2 linked regions of the Schizosaccharomyces pombe genome follow. Changing the gene in region 1 together with any one later gene gives a genetic interaction. Each region holds a gene or a part of one and is shown in the gene's direction. Other genes may lie near its edges.

Evidence for each region.
Region 2: mutations in gcd1 (region 1) and pof2 together harm fitness more than expected from each alone (negative genetic interaction), as found in Schizosaccharomyces pombe (one large-scale study listed by BioGRID).

What each region holds. Positions count from the first base shown.
Region 1 is NC_003421.2:238,698-243,786, reverse strand, and holds gcd1 (glucose-6-phosphate 1-dehydrogenase), read left to right. Parts: upstream 1-2,018; 5' UTR 2,019-2,072; intron 2,073-2,350; 5' UTR 2,351-2,578; coding exon 2,579-4,006; 3' UTR 4,007-4,324; downstream 4,325-5,089. Other genes in the region: SPOM_SPCC1529.01 (transporter), read right to left, coding at 4,537-4,636, 4,695-5,089.
Region 2 is NC_003423.3:2,615,588-2,619,988, forward strand, and holds pof2 (F-box protein Pof2), read left to right. Parts: upstream 1-2,274; coding exon 2,275-3,465; exon of another isoform or gene 3,466-3,501; coding exon 3,502-3,641; exon of another isoform or gene 3,642-3,688; coding exon 3,689-3,749; 3' UTR 3,750-3,889; downstream 3,890-4,401. Other genes in the region: SPOM_SPBC25B2.10 (Usp (universal stress protein) family protein), read left to right, coding at 934-1,857; TATA-binding protein-associated factor Mot1, read right to left, coding at 4,117-4,401. UniProt on the Schizosaccharomyces pombe protein: Involved in substrate recognition in ubiquitin-dependent degradation.

The sequences.
Region 1 (5,089 bases):
AACAGCGAAATCAAGAATATTCACTTTGTAGTCCAATTCCAATCGCTTTAAAGACTTTTTAACAAAATAATAAAATCGTTCAAACAAATTTCCAACTAATTCCTTCAAACAATGGCATAAAAAAAGAAGAACGAAAAAACTGAACGAGGCAGTGAATTGCTTCTGACACATTTATTCTGTCACTGCCTTTTTTATTCACCCCAACTTAGCTTTCCTTAAACGTTTTTGAGAAACAAACCCATCATTTATCAGTATAGACGTTTACTGCGACTTTTGAAACTGAATAGTGCGTGCAAGTGTCGCTTCGTTATCAGGAGTACGTCCGGCGTCGTACTATTTAATATTATGCATTTCAGTATTTAGCAACCACCAAATTCCATATCCCCGCGGTACTAGGGGAAAGTAGTAGGAGATCACTAAGTGTTTGACCAAGAATTCAAGGGAGGGGTTTTCTTCACAACCCATGGAAGAAAACAACATGGTGACAGGAATGAATAATTTGCATCAATATCAAAAATTGTAAGCCTAAATTTATCTTTACAAATTTCACGTACATAGACTGTTTTAGCTCCTCTGTCCATTTCAGTACAGTTACCGCATCTCGAACGAAATGTACCGAACTCATTAACATACGAATACTATCGTTATGATGGAATAGGGGAGATAAGAGAAAAAGCTTAGTAGAGAAAAAAGAGGATGGAAGAGGAACGCCATGCAAAACAGTAAATACATGCTTTTACTAGACTGACTTAGGGATATGCAAAACGTACGTTAAAAAAGAAGGCTCTGTTAATTTCCAATTTCGTAAATTTTGGCTAATAAGCAAAACAACGCCTTTTACTCCAAACTTCTAGATTTCCTGCCCCAACTTTGTGCCCTTCGGCTTCTACCCTAGCTGACCTTTTTTTCCTTTTGCTAAGACAACCATTTGGGAAGCCACAACGAAGCCCTAATTTTCCTTTAACGAGGTATGCTCCATCTCCTTATTGCCGAGATCTCTCCCCCTCTTCATACAAAGGCAAAATTCCTCTGCCAGACATGTCCAGAAGCATACGTAAGGTAAGGAGACTGAGAAAAAGAATGGATCTAGTAGGAAGAATATGAGGAATGCATTTCCAGGTTCTGAGAACGGGCTTAGATGTGCAATGACAGAGATGCGAAATGGAAGTGTAAATTTATTAAAGTCCTTTGTATCTCTTACACTACCCAAGTTTTAATGTACATGGTTTTATGTTGCCTATATCAGTGTGTAATAAAGTATATCACAGCAAATCCCTCCTTGTGTAAATTATAACAAGCGTAACTGTAACGTGCTTTGGTCCTACTGCGCTATTTTTTTAACGCTACGCTGTGCGCCCGCCTGCCTTGCTCTGCCATGCTTCTACTCTAATTCCTACTTTTTCCGAGATCCCCCGCTTCCCCCCTTCAAACTTTACTCGTTTCCCATAAACCTTATGCGAGGAAAATCTTCAGTGCTGATTGATGGATGATCGAATGTTTTGAAGATTTGCATTACCCGAGTAACCCCCTTTTCGTCGAACTCTCATATTCATTGGCACCTGCGTTTCGGTTCCCCTCTCCTTGGTCCGGGGTCTGTCTGACTAGCCACTAAGGTCCTTACTCTCAGTTGCCCAGTTGGCTAGGCTACTGCTACATTGACGTAGTAGAGCCGAAAGTGTAAAAGAGCATTTCATGCATCGTGCAATGCACATCATTGGAAGCGGTAGGAATTGTGGGCGTGGTAACCAGCAAAGCTTAAATACTAAAGTCTAAAGTTTGCTCACACACCTTGTCATACCTGGGCCACACGTTCGAGAGCTTGTCGCCCCGCCTCACCCCGGGCAGTCCCGCATCTTAAAAGGAAGTTTGGCTTGGGTTTGTTTTGTTTACACCTTGTCCCATGTTTGCGGAGACGTTAGGTTGATAGATGCATTAAGGTCTTTCCAATCGTGTCTGATGTCACGAGCATTGCTTCAAGTTGTATATATACAAGAGTATGGTCCCTCTTCTGAACCCCCAGCAACCTTGGTTTGTAAAACATACTCGCTTTTGATTCGTCGTGTGGAGTTTAGGTAGGTGGTTGGCGAATTTTTTCGTTTCGCTTATTGTTGGGCCGGGGATTTTTGAAAAAAGGGCAGGGTAAGGCAGGGCAGTGAGTAGTGGGTAGTGAGTAATGGTGCTAGTTAAGGGTAGACGCAAAGTGAATCATCAAAGGATATTCAACTCAATTGTCAATAATAATTACCTGAAATATCACCTTTTTCTCCTCTCCTCCCCCTCCTGTTCTCTCCTTTTCTTCTTTTCTCTTTCTTTCTGTCTTTTATCTTTGCTCTTTTCTAACACAATTTAGTATATCTATCTCGTAGATAACAAGACAATTTCCTTCGAATTTAAACTATCATCGCAAATTGACCTTTTGAAAAAATCTCATTGGATTTCCTTTAAATCATTTCATTTGTTTAATTTTTTTTTCTTTCACCCAAAAGAAAAAATATTTTCAATCTTACTTTCACTACTAATCTCGCCTTTTGTCTCAGACACTTTTTTTCCACTTTCTTTCCAACTTTTTTAAACAAAAATGCTATCCATCATTGTTTTCGGTGCATCCGGCGATCTCGCTACCAAAATGACTTTCCCGGCCTTGTTTGCCCTTTACGTCCGCAAAATTATTCCCGAGGACTTTCAAATCATCGGCTATGCCCGTTCCAAATTGTCCCAAGAGGCCGCTAACAAAATCGTCACCGCCCATATTCCCATTGACGATACTGTCGGTGCTTCTCAAAAGGCCTTAAACACCTTTGTCGAGCATTACAAGTATGTCCCCGGTACTTATGATAAGCCCGAGTCTTTTGAGATGCTAAACAGCATTATTGCTGAAAAGGAGACTGCTCCCGCCTCCGAATGCACACGTATCTTTTACTTGGTTCTGCCTCCTCATCTCTTTGCTCCCGTTTCCGAGCTAATCAAGAGTAAGGCTCATCCCAATGGTATGGTCACTCGTCTTATTGTTGAGAAGCCCATCGGCTTCGACTACAAGTCTGCCGATGCCATTCTCAGCGATCTCAGCAAGCACTGGTCTGCCAAGGATACTTTCAAAGTCGACCATTTCCTTGGCGAGGATATGATTGATGGATTCACTGCAATTCGCTTTGCAAACTCCATGTTCGAGCCCATCTGGAATCGTGAACACATTGAAAGTGTTCGTGTCGACTTTCGTGAAGACTTTGGTTGTGAGGGACGTGGAGGTTATTTTGAGGGCGCTGGTATCCTTCGCGATGTCGTTCAAAATCATCTTTTGCAACTACTTACCTTACTTTGCATCGAAGAGCCAAAGTCTCAAGATGCCGAAGATATCATCAAATGCAAGGTTGACTTCTTGAAATCCCTTCATCCCGTTTCCAAGGAGGACATCGTCTATGGACAGTACACTAAAAGTGCAAATGGAAAGGTCCCCGGTTATCGTGAACTGGATGGTGTTGCTGATGACAGTGAAGTTTCTACATTCTGTGCTCTTCAACTTCGCTCTGAAGCACCTCGTTGGAAGGGTATTCCCATCATCATTTCTGCCGGTAAAGGTTTGGACCGCGATTACTTTGAAGCTCGTATCACTTTTAAGCGTAGGGAAGGAGGTATGTTCCCTACCGTTGATAGCAGCAATGTTCTAGTCCTTCGTGTTTATCCCAAGGAATTCATTGCCCTCAAGGGACACATTAAACAACCTGGTTTCTCTCGTCAAATTGTTCCTGTGACTTTGGACGTTAAGTATCCCGAAGCTTTCCCTGATACATGGATCCATAAGGCCTATGAAGTGGTTATTGCCGATGCCATTAATGGAAAGCATACACACTTTATTAGTGATGATGAGGTTCGTACCTCTTGGAAAATCTTTGATGATGTCCTTGACACTACAGGCGATTTGTCACCTCTTCCTTATGCTTTTGGTTCCCACCATGGTCCAGATGCCACACTCGAATTTTTCAAGAAGCGTAATTTAGAGTGGGATTAAATCAAAGGAAACCATATCAAGTCTTTTGAACCACCATATTTTTTTTAATACACGGGTTTGTATATTTGTTAAGCTAATGAGCAAACTTCATATATGACATCCTTTCGCTTTGCCTTTTCCCTTTTTCAACTTTTTTTTTTATAAAACCATTTTTCTTATTTAGCTTTACGCTCAATTTAATAATCTAATTTTATGTGACAACGAACATCATCCATAAATATTAAGCCTCTTTTCTTACAAAACTTTGTAGTACATAGTAACGAGATGTGAGTATTATTTTTATTCATCGAAAAAATAAAAACGCTTCAAACATTTTGAGTCAATATAAAAGTATCACATTGCGTTGTAAATTAAATTATAGCTCTCTTGCTTAGTGCTTAACGTTTGAAGAAATGTGTATTTACTGAATCGTATACAAATTTTTTTGACATTATTTTAACTTTTTATTGAATAGAGTTGATAGTGTTCCAACCATTATTAAATTGTATTATTGTATTATTACAAAATATCTGTAAAATAAATAAGATTACCTATACATCGTCTTTAAAAATGACCATGCTAGATAATGCCCGTAACCGTTTTCCACCAAACCAAAGTAAAGAACATGTAATTATGGAGGATCCCAATACACTTTATCTACTGTTAGTAAAAATTGATAAAAAGAGAGATGATCCATCAAAAAACATACATAAATGCCAAAAGAGAGTTACCCCATCCATATCCCAAGGTATCATACATGTCCTGGCCAAAAAGAGGGAATGCAAAAGCAGCAATCGATCGAACACAACAGGCAACTGCTGTCGACGATGCTGCATAAATCATAAAAGAATCAATTAAATAAGTTTGGATACCACGCCAGCCTAACATCAAACCTATATTAAACATGGCTGCGCCAATATCTGGACCAATCCAGTGAGTGTGATACTGCGCAGTCCAACCATAAATAAACAAGCCAGCTGGAAAGAAAAAAGTTCCCAATAAAATTACGGGGACTCGAAATTCAGGTGCCATCTTTCCATTGTTTCTACGTTTTAGGTATCGAAACGTTTTATCAATAAATATACCAGATGCTTGACTGCCAAA
Region 2 (4,401 bases), on another chromosome or scaffold:
AATTAACAGATTTTTACAACATGACAAATTTGGATTTTACACATACACTTCATTTGAGCAAGCTAAGATTCCAAACATTTTTTAAAATTTCTTTATGAAAGTAGTAAAATGAAGAAATTGTAACTATTTTTTATTAATATAACAAATAATACCGATGCAAACTGGTTTAAATGGTCAATGCCCCAATTTCGTTCATGACTATTGTATGCTTTCACTGAAAAATTGTTTTTTTTTTATTGTTTTGGAATTTGGTAATACTGTGTGGCATTATAGACGGTGCACAGAGCCAGAGCAATACTAGAAAAGGCAGTTATAGGAAGAGCCATCTATCAATTAGAAATAATTGCTTACAACTTACACAAAAAACCTGGCTATGTTTATTAACACCTTTTTCACGTTTTAGCTTAATTACCGATACACATTCATCAGCTGCTACAAACCATAAATTGGGAAATATCTTACATATTTGGTAACCGAAAGAATCAAGTAACTAGAATTTAATTACGTTGATTCAGTTTAAAATTTAGTATAACAAGCACCACTGGTTTCCTCATAATGTTAGTTTTAAGATCTTGGGCATTAGCTTAGCACAATAGAATGGAGGGTTGACGCGGCCGTTACACATGACTTCACTTATTTGTCCACCACATACATACTTCCGGCAGCTCACTCTTCGTTGTAGGAAATATCGTAACTTTTAAATATTTATACAAATAAAAGCATTTTGTTTTGAAAAAAGAAGTTTTCTAATATATCATTTGAAAATAATAAACGAATTTCCCAAGTTTAATTAAGGCACCACTTTCAATTTTTTAACATTTACTCCGAATTAGAGTTGAATATAGTACCTTGTTTCATGTACAGGGTCTGCAAAATTGTGCAGAGAAATTGATTGTTTAAAAGTCCCAAAATTTAATCAAGTGAGAAGTTTAGATGAGTGAATCTGCACCCGCTGGTTCGAAGGAGGGAGTTTCATTCGGTAATCTCCCTCGTCCTGAGCCACGAACTTCTAAAGACCAGCAGAAGTTATCCATTTCTACCGATGTTAAAAAACCATCTCATTCTGCTCCTGTTACGCCGGTTCGGAGTGCCAGGAGCTCAATGGAACAGCCAACGTTTCGTCCTGTTGCAAAAAATTCCGTAACAGTGGCACCTGCTCGGGCGGCTGGATTCTGTCCTCCACAATTTGAGGAATATCATCATGGACGTTCCCATAGTCTTGTTTCACCACCTCCGAGTCCACATTTTCTAAAAAGGATTTCGTTCGATACGTTTAATAATAAAGCGGCTACAGATTTTTCCCTGACTCTGAAAACACAACATCAAGCTTACAAGTGGACAAGAACGTCTCGCACTTTTTTGTGTGGCATGGATGGCAATTCGTATTCTGAAGTTGCAGTCGATTGGTTATTCGAAACACTTTTAGCCGACAACGATGAAGCAGTAGTATTAAGAGTAATTGATCCTTCTTCCAAGCTAGCGGAGGATTTATCGGATGAACAATCTTACAGATCTTTAGCTGAACATATCATGGCAGGCATACTCAAGAAAGTTGATGATGATAAAGCTGTTTCTATAATAGTTGAACTCGTGGTTGGTAAACCTCAAGATATGATCCTTCGTACTATACACGTTTATTCACCTGATAGTCTTATTGTCGGTACTCGTGGCAAAGCCTTAAATAGCTTTCAGTCTCTTCTTTCTAGCGGAAGCGTTTCCAAATTTTGTTTACAAAAAAGCCCCATTCCCGTAATTGTTGTTCGACCTGATCGAAAACGAGTTCGTTCAAAAAACAAGCGCCTTAAGGACAAAACGAGAAAGTCCTATATGGAAATTTTAGAGAAAAGCGGTCGCTAATACGAATAGTTCTCTAACTTGCCAATTTATGATTAATACTTGCTTTATGACATGTAATATTTAATGCGTTTGATAAATTATTCGCAAAACGGTTGAACATTGATTTCTTTATTGTCTATTTTAAAAAAGAGCAAAAAAAATAAAGCTTTAATTTTTTTTGTTCGCTAAGCTAAAGCGTGCGGAATTTTAATGTTTAGAGTATATCTATCGTGTATTTGAGATTTCTTAATGTCAATTAATTTGTTTGTCTCTGGATTTAACTATGATAATTTGGAACATGCGTACGTTATGCTGCGTAATTTAGTTGAAATGAAAATTGTTTGTTTACATCCATTTATCATTTTAAGAATTTACGCTTTATTACCAACTCACATATTTTTCATTTATTCCCTATAGAAAAAAAATTTACCTTTACCAATGCGGGTGCCTAATGAAGTTTGTTTTAATATATTATCATATTTGGAAGCCGATGAGCTAAGGTGCAAATCGACAGTTTGTACTTCATGGAGGAATTTTATTATACCCACTTTATGGGAAAAAGTAGTATTTCAAAACGAAGCTCAATTAAATAACTTTTTTGATACTTTACAATACTCCAAGGATGTTTCGTACTATTTCAGGTATTTGCGCAAGCTGAATTGCTCTCGTGTTAGGAAATTTCTTACCGATAAACATTTAATGTTAATGACATTAGCAACAGGGATTTCTCGTCTGAATTTGTCTGGATGTACTCGCATTTCCGAGCCTCTTATTGGTAAACTGTTGTATCAGAATTTGAACTTGGTTACTATAAACTTCAGTAATATTTTCTCTTTACCGGCGAATATACTTGAATATATTTCTGATAATTGCCCTAATTTAAAAGCTTTGAATATTGGGAATTGTGGGTTAGTAGAAGATACCGGTATGGTTCAGATAATAAAACGTTGTCCGTACTTAAATCGGCTCATTATACCGAATTGTCGAAAGCTGACTGACGTCTCATTACAAATACTTTCTGAAAAAGAAGACCTGATTGAATTAGATATTAGTGGATGTGAAGGCTTTCATAATGCGGATACGCTGTCTAGGTTGGTCTCCAGAAATCGAGGTTTGAAAGAATTATCTATGGATGGTTGCACAGAATTGTCACATTTCATCACTTTTTTAAACTTAAACTGTGAATTAGATGCAATGAGGGCATTAAGTCTTAACAATTTACCAGATTTGAAAGACAGTGACATAGAATTGATAACTTGTAAGTTCTCAAAATTAAACTCTCTATTTCTTTCCAAATGCATTGGATTGACTGATTCGTCACTTTTAAGCTTAACAAAGCTTTCTCAATCTTTAACGACTCTTCATTTGGGACATTGCTATGAGATAACCGATATTGGTGTTCAATGTCTTCTAAAGTCATGTAAAAATATAACTTACATTGACTTCGGTGGTTGCCTTCGTTTGAGTGATATAGCAGTAAGTGCTATTGCTAAGTTGCCATATCTTCAAAGAGTAGGTTTGGTCAAATGCATTTGCCTTACTGACCTTTCTGTAATCTTACTAAGTGGGTCTTTTTCCAGAAACCTTGAACGAGTACATCTTTCTTATTGCATTGGACTAACCGCAAAGGTATGTAAAATATGCTATCTTTTCTAACCAAATTAGTCGGTTAGTTATTTGATGTATAACTGTAAAACGTTAAAGCATCTTAGCGTTACTGGAATTAACTCTATATTATGCACAGAATTGCGATCTTTTTCCCGTCCAATTCCAGATGGAATAAACCCGTCCCAAGTCCCGGTATTGTAAGTCTGTGGTTTTGACCTCTTAATAGTCACTAACTAATATACAGCTGTGCGTTCACTAAGGTCGAGATTGATTTGTTTCGAGAATTTATTCGTAATAGAATATAGAAATCAAACTTTTCACAGTTTCATTTAAGGCTTCAATTGACATGATGGCGTGCTTGTCCTTAACTATTCAATAATAAAACATTTTATAAAAAACGTTATTTACTCCGCAAGGTTTTTTTTTTTTTTTTTTTTTTTTTTTTTTTTTTTTTTTGATTGAACTAATCAGCAGATGGTAGCTATATATTTACAAGTACAAAAAAGTAGATTTATTACATATTATCAAAAAAACCTCTCACTCTTACAAAAGATAAGTTAAACATAGTTTCTTAAAAGAAAACCTATTTTATTGTACACCTTTCATATTGCATTACCATTCACATTAGTTAATAATTAATTTTTTTTATGGGGGTTCCATACTAACTCCTGTTCAAGAAGCATCCTTGGGTAAAGTAGATATGAAACCATCCAAATTAAATTCATCATATTGGGATTCATCCCACATTTCTGGAAGCCCTTCAAGAGCCTTTTTAGAAGTACCACTTAGACCGCGACCTGCCGCATCTTCCGATTCTTCTTTGTCAATATTTTGTACAGTTTGTTGTTCATCAGCAGTAGTGTTAAAAAGGTCTAAAATCTGATCGGTTCCAATTGAAGAAAGACCAGCATTTTGCTGATTAACAACCGTTGATGCCACGTTCATTTTAAACCTCTG